Sus scrofa: one gene and its partners. The protein of the gene in region 3 interacts with the protein of the main gene of each other region in a pairwise test. Links are inferred from orthologs where the notes say so. Each region holds a gene or a part of one and is shown on either strand. Other genes may lie near its edges.

Region 1 (4,179 bases), on a different chromosome or scaffold from region 3:
GTGGTTTCTCCAGTTATACAAATACCTAGTTTCTCTATTACTTGTAATTTCTGTCTTTAATTTCTTCATGAAAGCCCTTTTACTGGATATATTTTTGCTTTATTTAACGATCAACCTGACAAGAGAAAACAGAGTGGTATTTTATTTCACCATCAGCCTGCTGTTTTCTGTAGAGACTATGATTCTACCAGGCATGTTTCCCATATAATAACTTACCAAAATGACCGGAGAATAAAAATTGGGGTTTACTTTTGCCCTATCCAAAAAGATTTCAGCATGAATTTATTTTGCTCTCTTTGTTAAAACTTCATTTTGGATTACTCTGCAAATCTGATATTATTTTATCAATTCTGTAGTTGTGCTGTCTTTATGAACTGTTTATGACTCTGAATCGAAAGTTGACAAAAACCACCACTACCACCACCAAAAAACAATAAAGGGCAGGGTGCTGGGCAAGCTAAATTTTATTACATCCAATAAGGAGTTCTGAAGTTGCAAAGGATCTTAGAGATCATTTGAGATTATTCAGATCCAGCCAGATGAAGAAACTGAGCTCCAAAGTGGGCAGCTGGCCCGCTAAAAGCCACACAGTTAGATGAGGTCATAGCCAGAGTTAGAACTGAAGACTTTAACTCTCTGATGTTCTTTCCATTATACCATAAGGTTTCTGTTCTAAAAATGTATATTCCATGAAGGAGGTGCTACTTTTCATACATGCTCTTGGGAAATTTAACATTACTGTCATTCTCCACTCTTAAATTTGTTTGTATAACTTTGACATTTTTTTCCTAAGTATCTGCTGTTTAAACATTTTCCATAACGAGCACGTAACTGAAGATCAGAGTGAATGATAACAGTAGTTGACATTTGTTGAGCAACTCCTGTGTATTAGGAAGTGCTAAGCCCTTTTACACACATCTCTAATCCTCCCACATTATAGAGTAGGTGGTGGTATCACCATCTACAGATGAAGAAATTGAGGCCCAGAGCGAGGTTAATTTGCTCTAGATGAGCTAGTCAATAACAGAGCTCAGATTCAACCCAAAATTGCTTGTTTCTGAAGCCCATCCCCTGAAACTGGGCTTTAGGATTTTCATCAGAAAAAAATGACGTTTTTGGAGATGCTAATCTGCACCAAACTCACTAGCCCGAAAATTTAAAGATTGTTCAGTGGTCATGTAACCAGGATGCAGCCCATCAACTCATAGCTGAAGCAAGAGTAGACTGAGTTCTTGCCATTTTAAAATCAAGCTTTTGAAATTCTTTATATTTTCTTGGTTCTGGAACTAATCTAAAAGCCAAAAATAAATAGATAAGTTGTGCAACTGACAAACTGATTATACATAAACATAAAGGTATATTTTAAAGTTAATCCACAAGATGGTATGATAGTACCAGAGAACAGAGAAAGGAGGTGACCACCTAACAGAAATCCTGTGGATTTTAGTTTATGGATGTCTGAAGATAAGCAAAGGGAATCTTTCTTTGTACTTTTAAAAAAATGTAAATCCTTCACTGTTGAAGGTTTATTTGGGCAACTCCTGATTCCATGAACCACAGAAGGAATTGGAACTCTGAATATCAGTTCATGATGTAAGCAAATATTCCCTTAGGTCGGGTGATACATACTCCATTGCCTCCGACAGAAAGACAAAGCCATCCTACAACCATGATGGAACTAAAATATGAACATTTAACAGTGTCCCTCTAAACATGATACACTAGAACCACAGCTAATTATAGCTCTTTGTCTCCGCACCTCTTATGAATCCTCCCACCTGAGTGTTTTTTTATTAACCGGAGGGATGTATACCTAATAGAAATGCTGATATTAGATCATTTAGGAATGTGTCATTTGAAACTAACTTGGATTGCTCAAGGACAATTGCTTGAGAAGCTCACTGGAATGTATACCAAGATGTAGAACTACAACAGATATCCAAACAAAACCTAACTGAAAGGGGGAGAATGCAGTCTGTGGCTATTAAAACTTTGCGGAACATTAGACTGCAAATGATTCGTCCTTAACCTGCAGAAGTAGTTTTATTGCTCCAGGAAGCTGTAATTTCCTGATAGAATCGCAAGTCTGCTGCCACTGAAAATACCCCTTGCCCTTTTCCCGTGAGCAGAGAAGCACGGAGGCAAAGAGCAGCCACTTCCTGAGAAAAGCGGTGCATCTCTCCCCGCGCCAGGTGTGGGCCACACGAAGCTTCCTTCAGGAGGAAGGCATCTCTCATTCGGCTTGACGCGCCTTATGGCAGGAGCTAGAGCGCAGGATAAAGTACTCAAAAAGGAAAGTGCTGGGGCGGGGAACAGCTAATCCAGCTTCAAGCTAAATGTACAATTATAATGGCCAGGAAGCCCACACCGCATTCGCCCCGAAAAGGGCAAGGAAGGAAAAAAGCTACCAGCTACACAAGCCCCCAGGACAACTCAAACGCGGGGAGGGCAGGTGGGCAGAGTGATGAGGGTCGTACTGAGTGGAGATGTCTGCGGACAAACACCTTCCCCCGTTGTTACCCCGGCCACCTTCGGGGCCCCAGATTCCCGGTGGCCAGCGGGCACCTCCCGCCCACTCCGCCACGCGGGCGGTCGGCGGACCGGACACCGGCCCCGCGCCCTCTTTCCTCACAGCCTCATCGCCCGCTTCACTTACCGAGGGCGCCGGGGTCCCTGGACAACGCTGCCGCGGAGGTCGCGGGGGCGCCCGCGGGGCCGGCGGGAAGGCAGCGGCGCACCGGGAGCGAGCAACCCTCTGCAGAGGGACCGCAGCCGGGCGACGCCCCCTCCCCAGAGCGCGGGGACCGACAGCTGGAGGCACCAATGCGCGTGGAGCAGGCGGGCGCGGGGCGGGGCCCGGGCTGGGGGCGGGGGCGGTGGCCCGGGGGAGGGGCGGGGGGGGGACAGGAGGTCCACCTGCGGGTGAGCCCAGCCCCGGGCGTGGGACCTTCGCGCGCCCAGCCAGGCGGCAATCTTTTAGGCGCGACCACATCCAGGCAAGGGCCGGGGGCCACCGAGAGAGATGGGGAGGGGACCAAGGTCGTAAGCCTTCCATTTTCTCAGATGCAAAGTAGCAAAATCCAATTTTAAACTATGGGCACTCACATCATAAATCCCCCCACTGAATATTTAAAGTCACAGCAGATATCACATTTTAAAAGTAGGATTCAGATCTGTGCAGAGTCAATCTCGTTTGAAAAGAAAAATTACCTATATGAATAGAGAAAATAAAACTTTTCCAGGAATGGGTTTGGGTGTAATGCACTTATCACGGTTCCCTGCCAAAGGTTCTCAGAGGCCCAAGACACAGACCCTTGTCTCCTAAGAATCTAGGAGGAAGGAAGAGATGATGCAAACTGTGTGATATCGATGTCAGAAGGGCACAGAAACACAGCCCCCTCCCTCCTTTACATCTTGTATATTTCCAGGATTCAGTCGATTACAAGTTACCCGTTTCCCTTACATTCCTAGGTGTCTGCTTAACCTTGTCCCTCTCAAGTACAGCGCGGGGTGAGGGTTAGGGGTTTAAAACATGAGTTGACTTTCCTCACAATTCTAGTACAGACCAGAGCAAAGGGCACTGGCAATATTCACTCTCTGTTTGGCTAGGCTGTGTTATTTTCACACATTTTGAGAGTCTTTATCTAAGCAAGTTCCCAGTCATAGTGAAAAGCACCATAAGCATTGATTTGTATACATAATCCACTGTATATAGTGGATTAGCACCAATGAAAGGTGTTGCAGTGAGAGTTTAGGGTGACTTGCTTTGGGCTTAATATTACCTACAAGGGCATTCCTGGGAGCCTCTATGGTGAGGTCCTGCAGGATGCACAATTCCTGCCTCCTCCTCTGGCCCCTCCCAAGCATACTATCTAGATGAAGAAGCTATTAAGGCAGAGGGAAGAACTATGAAAAGCAGTTGTACTTATCTCTTTTCTTCAATAGGACCATGAGCTTTGAGAGAGTAAAGCTCTTACCCACTTTTGGATGCTTATCCAGGAATATAGTTTACCTTTGTAAGATTCTTTATTAAGGAAAGAACTATTTACACAATAGCAAAGCTGAATCTAAGCTGTCAAGATCCTAGAGACAAGCGCTATAAAACAGGAAAATCCCTAAGCACCTATAGTAGAGATAATTAAGAATTCAATTTATCTTTATTTATTCAGCTAACACCAG
Region 2 (4,264 bases), on a different chromosome or scaffold from region 3:
TACAGAGCCACCTCAGAGAAGTGGGAAGAATGAAGAGATTCGAGACCCAACTGTCGAAAGTTAAGATAATAAACAGACAGGTCTTCCTAGGCCCTCGCCCTGCTGTCCTCGGTCCAGGGCTGTGAGACGGCTCAGAAGCTGCAGGTCTGGCCTCAGCTGCCTGCTCCCTGTTGCTCAACTGTTTACAGCACCTTTGCGCATCCTGCGCTGAACACCTTTTAAAAGAGAAAAAAAACGAAAGCGCTTGCTGCCGAGGCAGGTTCACTCCGGAGACCTGAATCCCGCGAGGCTGAACCCTCTGGAGGCGCAGCGCTGGCGACCTGCGGAATTAGCAGGCTCAGTCCTCCGCCCCTGGCTGAACGCGGTCACTGGGTAAGTCGCGTCCTTCTGAGGATCTTCAATTATTCATTAGAAAGCACGAATTTTCATCAGAGATCAGGGCTTTTTTTAAGTGTGGCCTGAATCCACCTGCTAAAAATCGACTTTTGGGCCAGGAATCTCGATGCATTTGAGTTCTCAGGCCTGAGCCCAGAGATCTTCACACATTTTCTGATATTTTACTGGTAATTGTGCCTTTTACCTCTTAATTTACGGTGTGAGCTCCTCAAATGTACGCCTGCTTCCCGCTTCTTTGCATCTCAGCATCCAGGACGGGAGGCCTCGGAGATCCCGACGGATGGGACAGCTTTCCACCTCGTCTTCTGCAGGATGGCGACCAGGAGTGACTCCTGGCTTCTTTCTGACTTTCTACCATGAACACACACTGGGGTTGTCACAGGACGAGAGCACGTTAAAGCTGGGGGCGGGGGACAGGAGTGAGGACGCGGGGCGGGGAGGAGGAGGAAGGCAGCTTCTGTGCAGGGAGGGGCTGCACGCCCGGCCCGGTCCTGTGAGGGGTCAGGCAGTCCCTCCCAGGCCGGGCTGTGGTTCTGGACCTGCAACCTGCAGAGCCTGACACCCTGACGCCCTGGGGGCAGGGGGCAGGTGTAAACAAGGGGGGAAGGAAATACAAGCTGCTGGTGTTTCCGAGAAGAAACGCTTTGATCCGCTCACTTCCTCTTTCAACAAGCGTCCACTGAATGGTCCCTGGGAACAAGCACTTAGATCTTTCTCAGCAAAGGCGGGCAGTGCTTTGACCCTGGGGGTCAGTCTGGCCGCAGTGTGTTCTAGAACTGTGAACACCTCAGCAGGTAAGACCTCTGCTCAGTGGAGCCCAGACGCACAGTGCTGAGAGCCGGCGCGCACGGTGTCGCCAAAGCACCCCCACCTTCACTTTTCAGACGCGAGAGGCGCCTGCCCGCAGCCGCGGGACTGGAGTGGCAGCTGGGATCCAACCACGGGGAGGAGGCACTGCCCAGGCGACAGGAAGATTAATTGTTGAGAGCACCCACTGAGGAAAGAGCGCCTCTGTGGTACTGAGCCGGGTGCCGTGGAGAAACTGGGTCCACTCGACACACTTCACACTCATCCCTCAGCACTCAGCCTGCAGCCAGGGCCCTTGGGGATCTCTGGGGAGCGTCCTGCGTGGGGCAGGCTCCCTGACTGCCAGGTGCTGCGCGGGGCTGGCAGCCTGGCCCGGAGACCCTCACCAGCAGGGGCAGAGCTCACGGTGTTGCACTTTGCCGATACTGCATTTTCAAAAAACTGCAGCTTTGTGGCAACTCTGCTGAGCGTCTACTGGCACCATTTCCCCAAAAGCATCTGCTCACTTTGGGTCACATTTTGGTCAATCTCACATGTCAAACTTTTCCATTACTGTCACTTGTTACGGTGAGGTGTGACCGGGGCTTTGAGGGGGGTGTGGTTAACTGCTTTGGACACCACAAGCTGTGTGCATGTGAGACCGTGACCTTGTGGCCAGGTGCGCTCTGACCGCCCCCGTGACTGGCCACGAGCCCCCCCTCCCGTCCTCGGGCCTCCCTCTTCCCTGAGACGCGATGTGGAAATGAGGCCAATCCACAAGCCTGCAGCGGCCTCGCCGGGCTCCCAGGGAAGGGAGAGTCGCGTGTCTCTCACTTTCCATCAAAAACCAGACGAGACCGAGCTTCGTGCAGAAGCGGAGACAGAAGTCCGTTGTGCCAAACGGGCATCTGAGTCGTGAGAGGAAGGCGGCCTTCTCGAAGGGAGTGGAAGCACGGATCCAGGGAGCACCCAAGGGAGGAGCGCGCCAAACAGCCTCCCTGCTGCCGTGGAGAAGGCTGCGCTGCTCCGGACAGAAGATGAGAGCAGCCACACGCCCCTAAGCCGAGGCCTCGACCGGAGCAGGGCCCGCACTCTCTCCGATTCTGCAGAGGCTGCCGCAGGCGAGGGAGCTGCAGGAGGCAATGAGCAGACACCCACCCGCAGAGGCCGGGTCACGAGGCCGAAGCACAGAGGCCGCCTCCACAGCTCCGAAGCGCGCGGCGAGGGGCACGAGCCGAGGGAGAAGCTGCAGCTCGGATCACCCAGGAAGGTGGCCACGCGGACAGATGTTCAGGGGCCACCAGACAGCCTCCTGGTGTCAGGAGACGCCAGCTAGGACTTCGAGGGCTGGAGGGGGACGTCCGCGCCGGGCGTCAAAGCTTCGGAGGCCAGGCCGACTCTGCTGGGGGCTCATGCGGCTGGTGACTTTCAGGTGAAGCCAGGGCTCGTTGGCGATTTCACATGTCCCAGTGTCCTTCAGGAGGACGCTAAAGCCACTCGGCCTGTGCTCTGGACGTGGAACAAAGCCTGGATGACGGCACGTCTGCTGACAACACGGTTTACTGAGTGTTTTGTTTTTTGTTTTTTTTTTTTTGCTTTTTTGCACCTGTGGCATATGGAGGTTGCCAGGCTAGGGGTTGCACAGCCAGAGCAACTCAGGGTCTGAGCCCCATCTGTGACCTACGCCACGGCTCAGGGCAACGCCAGATCCCTGACCCACTAAGTGAGGCCACGGATGAAACCCGCAACCTCATGGATACTGGCTAGATTCGTTTCTGCTGCACCACAATGAGAACTCCCCCACTGAATACTTTAACCCCACTGTTGAGACCTGAAAGTCAGAAAAAAGATTCTTTTCAAATTATTACTGTTCGCCTGGTCCCCCAAGAGCTCTGATGGAGACGCGCGCTGGGGTTAGACTTCTTTAGCGTCTGCTAACACAGCAGCCACGCTGCAGCCTGTGGGTCGAGGAGTCACTCTGCCTTTGAAGTCTTGCTATTTACGAAACACATTTCGGAGTTCCTGTCATGGCTCAGTGGTGATCGAATCCGACCAGGAACCAAGAGGTTGCGGGTTTGATCCCTGGCCTCACTCAGTGGGTTAAGGATCCGGCGTTGCTGTGAGCTGTGGGGTAGGTCACAGACACGGCTCAGATCCCACACTGCTGTGGCTGTGGCACAGGCTGGCGGCTACAGCTCTGATCAGACCCCTAGCTTGGGAACCTCCATGTGCTGTGGGAGCGGCTCTAGAAAAGGCAAAAAGACAAAAAAAAAAGAAACACATTTCCTAAGGTTATAGCTGCCACAGTGATCCTCTGATGAATCTGGGCAAAGTACACTGAAAACCTTCTGGAAAGAATTCACCTTTCCAGATGCCATCAAGAACATTTGTGACTCTGGGGAAAAGGTCAGAATATTAAAATTAAGAGGAGTTTGGGAGTTCCCGGCAGGGCTCAGCATAAACGAAACTGACTAGCATCCATGAGGATGCAGGTTTGATACCTGGCTTTGCTCAGTGGGTTAAGAATCCGGTGTTGCCGTGAGCTACGGTGCAGGTCAGACACGGCTCGGATCTGGCGTTGCTGTGACTGTGGTGTAGGCTGGAAGCTACAGCTCTGATTCAACCCGTAGCCTGGGGACCTCCATGTGCTGCGGGTGCAGCCCTAAAAGAAAAAACAGGAATGTGGAAGACGTTGATTGCAGCCCTCTTGATGCCTTTGAGGGGCTCAGACTTTGGGGGCGGCGGTCACTGCAGATGTGAACACAGCGAGAGAGCTAGAACTGCAAGTGGAGCCTGAAGATGGGACTGAGGCGCTGCGATCTCACGACAAAACCTTCAGTGGCTGAGGCGCTCTTGGGAGCGAGCAGAGCCCACTGTTTCCTGAGATGGAATCTACTCCTGGTGCAGCGGCTGGGAACACCGCTGACACGACCACGACGACGGAGCCACAATACAACGTCAAATTCGTTGAGAAAGCAGGTTTGAGGCTCGAGAGAATGGACGTCAATTTTTTTTTTTGTCTTTTTTAGGGCCGCACCCACGGCATATGGAGGTCCCCAGGCTAGGGGTCGAATCCGACGTG
Region 3 (3,709 bases):
TTATTTTATGGATGGCCTAATGGTTAAAATATAGACGGTCTTGTCTTTTTTTTCCTTTTTCTTTTTCAATTTTTTTTTTTTTTTTTTTTTTTTTTTTTTTTTTTTTTTTTTTTTTTTTTGCTTTTTAGGGCTGCACCCACGGCATGTGTTGATTCCCAGGCAAGGGGTCGAATCAGAGCTATAACTGCCAGCCTACCCTACAACCCCAGCAGTGACAGATCTAAGCCGCATCTGCGACCTACACCACAGCTCATAGTAACGCCAGATCTTTAACCTACTGAGCGAGGCCAGGGATCAAACCCTCAACTTCATGGTTCCTAGTCGAATTCATTTCTGCTGCGTCACGATGGGAACTCCTAGAGGGTCTTGTCTTACTGAAGTTTTTCATTGAGTGTTGAAAATGTGAAATATTGCTTCATGCTTTTTAGATATTAGTTAAAAAAAAAAAAGGCATATAGCAGACTGTTACTTGTATCTTAACCTTTTATGTCTCAGAAAAAGATAGAATTTGATGGGCTGTCAGCCCTACATATTCACCTATCCCTATGAGGTTTTTTAAAATATTAAAGCATTGAATATAAAGAATATTAATTCTTAATATTCTTAAGGTTTTTATAGCTGTTTTATCCTTTTGGGTGGAGGGGAAGACTGCATAATATTTGCTAACTTCACTAAAGGTCCTTTAATTGCAACTGCATCAGGACAAACTATAGGAAGGTGACAGTGTTATAAACTTGGTGAAATGTCATTTTCAGTTATTATATTGGTCATAGCTTCTCAATGCACCATATTAAATTGAACTATGACTTTGCTACACATTTACAGCTGGAAAATTGGGAAATGGGTTTCCTATGAGAATTTCAGACGAAACTATAAAAAGCTTAGAACAGTGAGCTGAAGAATGACGCAGCTAAATTGGGGTTTAACTGCTTATCATTACGATTGGTTTGTACCCAGTAAGATATCTCCAGTCAGCTTGGCTTTTGATTAGAAACTTAGCCCCTAATGAATGCATATCCAAAATGTCATAGAGCCAGTAGCCACTTTTACAATGAAAGCCATCTGTTCTCAAAATTATGCTGTTAAATGGAAACACCCCAAGTTGTTCCTCATCCTCATTTCTAAATCCCAGTTTAACAGAGGCAGTAACAGAAATTGCCCCAAAGATAGAATAAAATAAAATCTTCTCCTCCAGGAGTGACACACAAATAGGGTCACATCACCTGGCAGTGACTAAAACACTTGACTAGATAAAATAAGAAAGAAGGAGAGAAGAGAGACGGAAAGGAAACCAGGAGAAAAGAGAAGGAAAGAGCAGGATTAAAGAGGCAGGCAGGAGGTTAAGGCTGAGATGAAGGCAGATCGCAGTAAATGAGCATCAGGAGGAAGAAGGAAGGAAAATTTGAGAGAGGAGAAGGGGGAGGAAGGTGAGCAGAACAGAAGGAGAGGTGGGGCCAGTCCACACTGCACTGGGGCTGGGGAGAGATGGTGGCTGTTGCAAAACATTGGTTTCTCCTGTTTTCTCCAAGTTTCCAAAGATTAGTATTTTGCTCTCTGTCTTTTATTTTTCTTAGTTAGACCGATTCAAGGAACCACCTGCTTATGGACCTATGTGTGACATCCTGTGGTCAGACCCCCTGGAGGATTTTGGAAATGAGAAGACTCAGGAACATTTCACTCACAACACAGTCAGGGGGTGTTCATACTTCTACAGGTGAGGACCGAAAGCTCCAGCTCGCCCTCTGGAGCACATGACCTTCATAACTGCTGTCATTGATCAGCCATCCGTATGTTTGATTTACTTACTACATGTGTATAACTTTACTAGGAAACAAGTATAAGCGAAAGACTTACTTTGAAAGCCTGGTTCAAATGGGTTCTTAGCCCTTGAAAATCAAAAATAAATGGATAGGTAAATAAATGAATGTATATCAGCATATAGAGCTAATATCTGTGAAAAATAGAAGAGTATAAAAGAGGCAAGTGGCTTCAGGATGGCAAGGCAGCTGGAGAAGTTGGTAGGATTTGGTAGAAAGATTGTTTTCTTTCCAGAACTGTAAGAAAAAAGTCTACTGCCCGCCTTGAATTTTCACTTAATTACATAATCACTTCAAAATATTTTTTACCAGTTTTCATAACTTAAAATAATTAAATTATTTTCAAGTGATTCTTAAATTTTCTTAAGCTCATCAGACTTCCTGAATAAATTTGAATTAGCAGCAACTCAATATATAGGTACCATAGTAAATTGATTTTTAGCGCTTGACAAGCCACATTGAGAAAAATTTTCTACTGATGTTTATACTTGCCGTTGTATGGAGATTTGCCCATCTCATAACATTTTAGAGCACTTCAGAAAGAATTCAGCAACACAGTTGGGTTTTTGCATGCCCTCACGATTTTCTCGACATCTCGGTCACCTCAATTTTAGCCTACTGCATTTCATTGCCCTCAGTTTCACTAGATTCCCTTATCAAACTTCAGTTTTATGGGAAAGTGGCCAGAGTGAAAGCGTGCAAGAGATTATGAAGGAGCATTTAAATTCTAGTACATATAGTCCTTTTATTTAACTTAAAAATCAAACCTGATGTTCACTGAAGTTTACATGAAATTCCTGCCCTGCAGCTAAGCTAATGGCCAGGCTGGAAGAACTCTACAAAAGATGCATCCAACCCAATATCTTTTGTCTCTAGGGTAAGCAGATATCATTCTCCTGCATAATACTGATCAGAGTTTATTCAGTGGTTGAATATTTTGTTCCAAATACATTGTTTCCCTTGTGAGGGAAAAGAGTTTCCTTTTATTCAGCTGTTGATATGATTGAGAAATTGAAGTTTGAGAACAGAAAGTCTTGAAAACTGTAAAGCATCATTCAAAGAATAGTTTTTGCTTTAAATATAAAGAAAGAGGTTTATTCTGAGTTTACTTAACCAGAAAGTTTGTGATTCATTTCTTTGTTTTAGAAATTTGGGCCAAGGAGGCATGTACACTATTTCTGAAAAGTCTAAGGTTTCTTTTCAGTTATTAGAGAATTGATGAATAATCTTTTATTGAAAATGTTCAAACTTTTAGTGAAGAGTAGTATTGTTGAAATATATCAAAGCCAGGTGTTCGGTTTTTCAGATCTGGTGCTAAATCCCTAATTATATCGTGGATGTTTCAATTACCTATTTGATACTGAGTCATGCTTCAATAATACAATATTAAAAAATACAAACCTCTTACTTTGACATTGAGCCACATTACATTAATCTTTCTTTAATTTGTAGTATAACATTTTTCTGTTCGTTTTCTGAGTGCGCTCTTCAAATGTATCCTATTCTAAATAAACTCCCTGAACTCATATAAAGGCAAGGTATTTTTGTTTTGTGAATATAGACAGAGATGTGTTTACATCAGAGATAAAGTCCATCAACTAGATAATTACAGGATTATGCATGTTTTCACACTTTTGTTCTCAACAAGATGATTATTTAACTCCTCTCATTAGAGGTTCTTAAGAGATAATGATCCTTAGCCATGACAAAAGCTGACTGTGGAAATCCACAGCCTATATACTCTAATGGCAAAGCAGTCTGGGTTATGTTTTATCTGAAGAAGAGAAAAATGACTTACACATTCTCCTGGAGCTTTTTGATTCTTTTGTCTTCAGTCTTGAAGGTGCTATCATCAAGGTGTCAAGGCTTCCTCTGGGGTCTTGGTTTATAGA

The links. The genes of interacting proteins can lie anywhere in the genome.
Region 1: the proteins of PPP3CA (region 3) and AKAP5 interact in binary tests that used the Homo sapiens proteins (3 or more experiments, as listed by UniProt). The link is inferred for Sus scrofa from reciprocal best matches to the Homo sapiens genes PPP3CA and AKAP5.
Region 2: the proteins of PPP3CA (region 3) and C6H16orf74 interact in binary tests that used the Homo sapiens proteins (3 or more experiments, as listed by UniProt). The two-hybrid records come from large-scale screens. The link is inferred for Sus scrofa from reciprocal best matches to the Homo sapiens genes PPP3CA and C16orf74.

What each region holds. Positions count from the first base shown.
Region 1 is NC_010449.5:88,537,596-88,541,774, reverse strand, and holds the start of AKAP5 (A-kinase anchor protein 5), read right to left. Parts: upstream 2,838-4,179; 5' UTR 2,657-2,837; intron 2,651-2,656; exon of another isoform or gene 2,164-2,650; coding exon of another isoform or gene 2,130-2,163; exon of another isoform or gene 1,690-2,129; coding exon of another isoform or gene 1,614-1,689; intron 116-1,613; exon of another isoform or gene 1-115. UniProt on the Homo sapiens protein: Multivalent scaffold protein that anchors the cAMP-dependent protein kinase/PKA to cytoskeletal and/or organelle-associated proteins, targeting the signal carried by cAMP to specific intracellular effectors.
Region 2 is NC_010448.4:3,155,811-3,160,074, reverse strand, and holds the start of C6H16orf74 (uncharacterized protein C16orf74 homolog), read right to left. Parts: upstream 2,838-4,264; 5' UTR 581-2,837; intron 1-580.
Region 3 is NC_010450.4:119,688,221-119,691,929, forward strand, and holds part of PPP3CA (serine/threonine-protein phosphatase 2B catalytic subunit alpha isoform), read left to right. Parts: intron 1-1,574; coding exon 1,575-1,714; intron 1,715-3,709. UniProt on the Homo sapiens protein: Calcium-dependent, calmodulin-stimulated protein phosphatase which plays an essential role in the transduction of intracellular Ca(2+)-mediated signals. Many of the substrates contain a PxIxIT motif and/or a LxVP motif.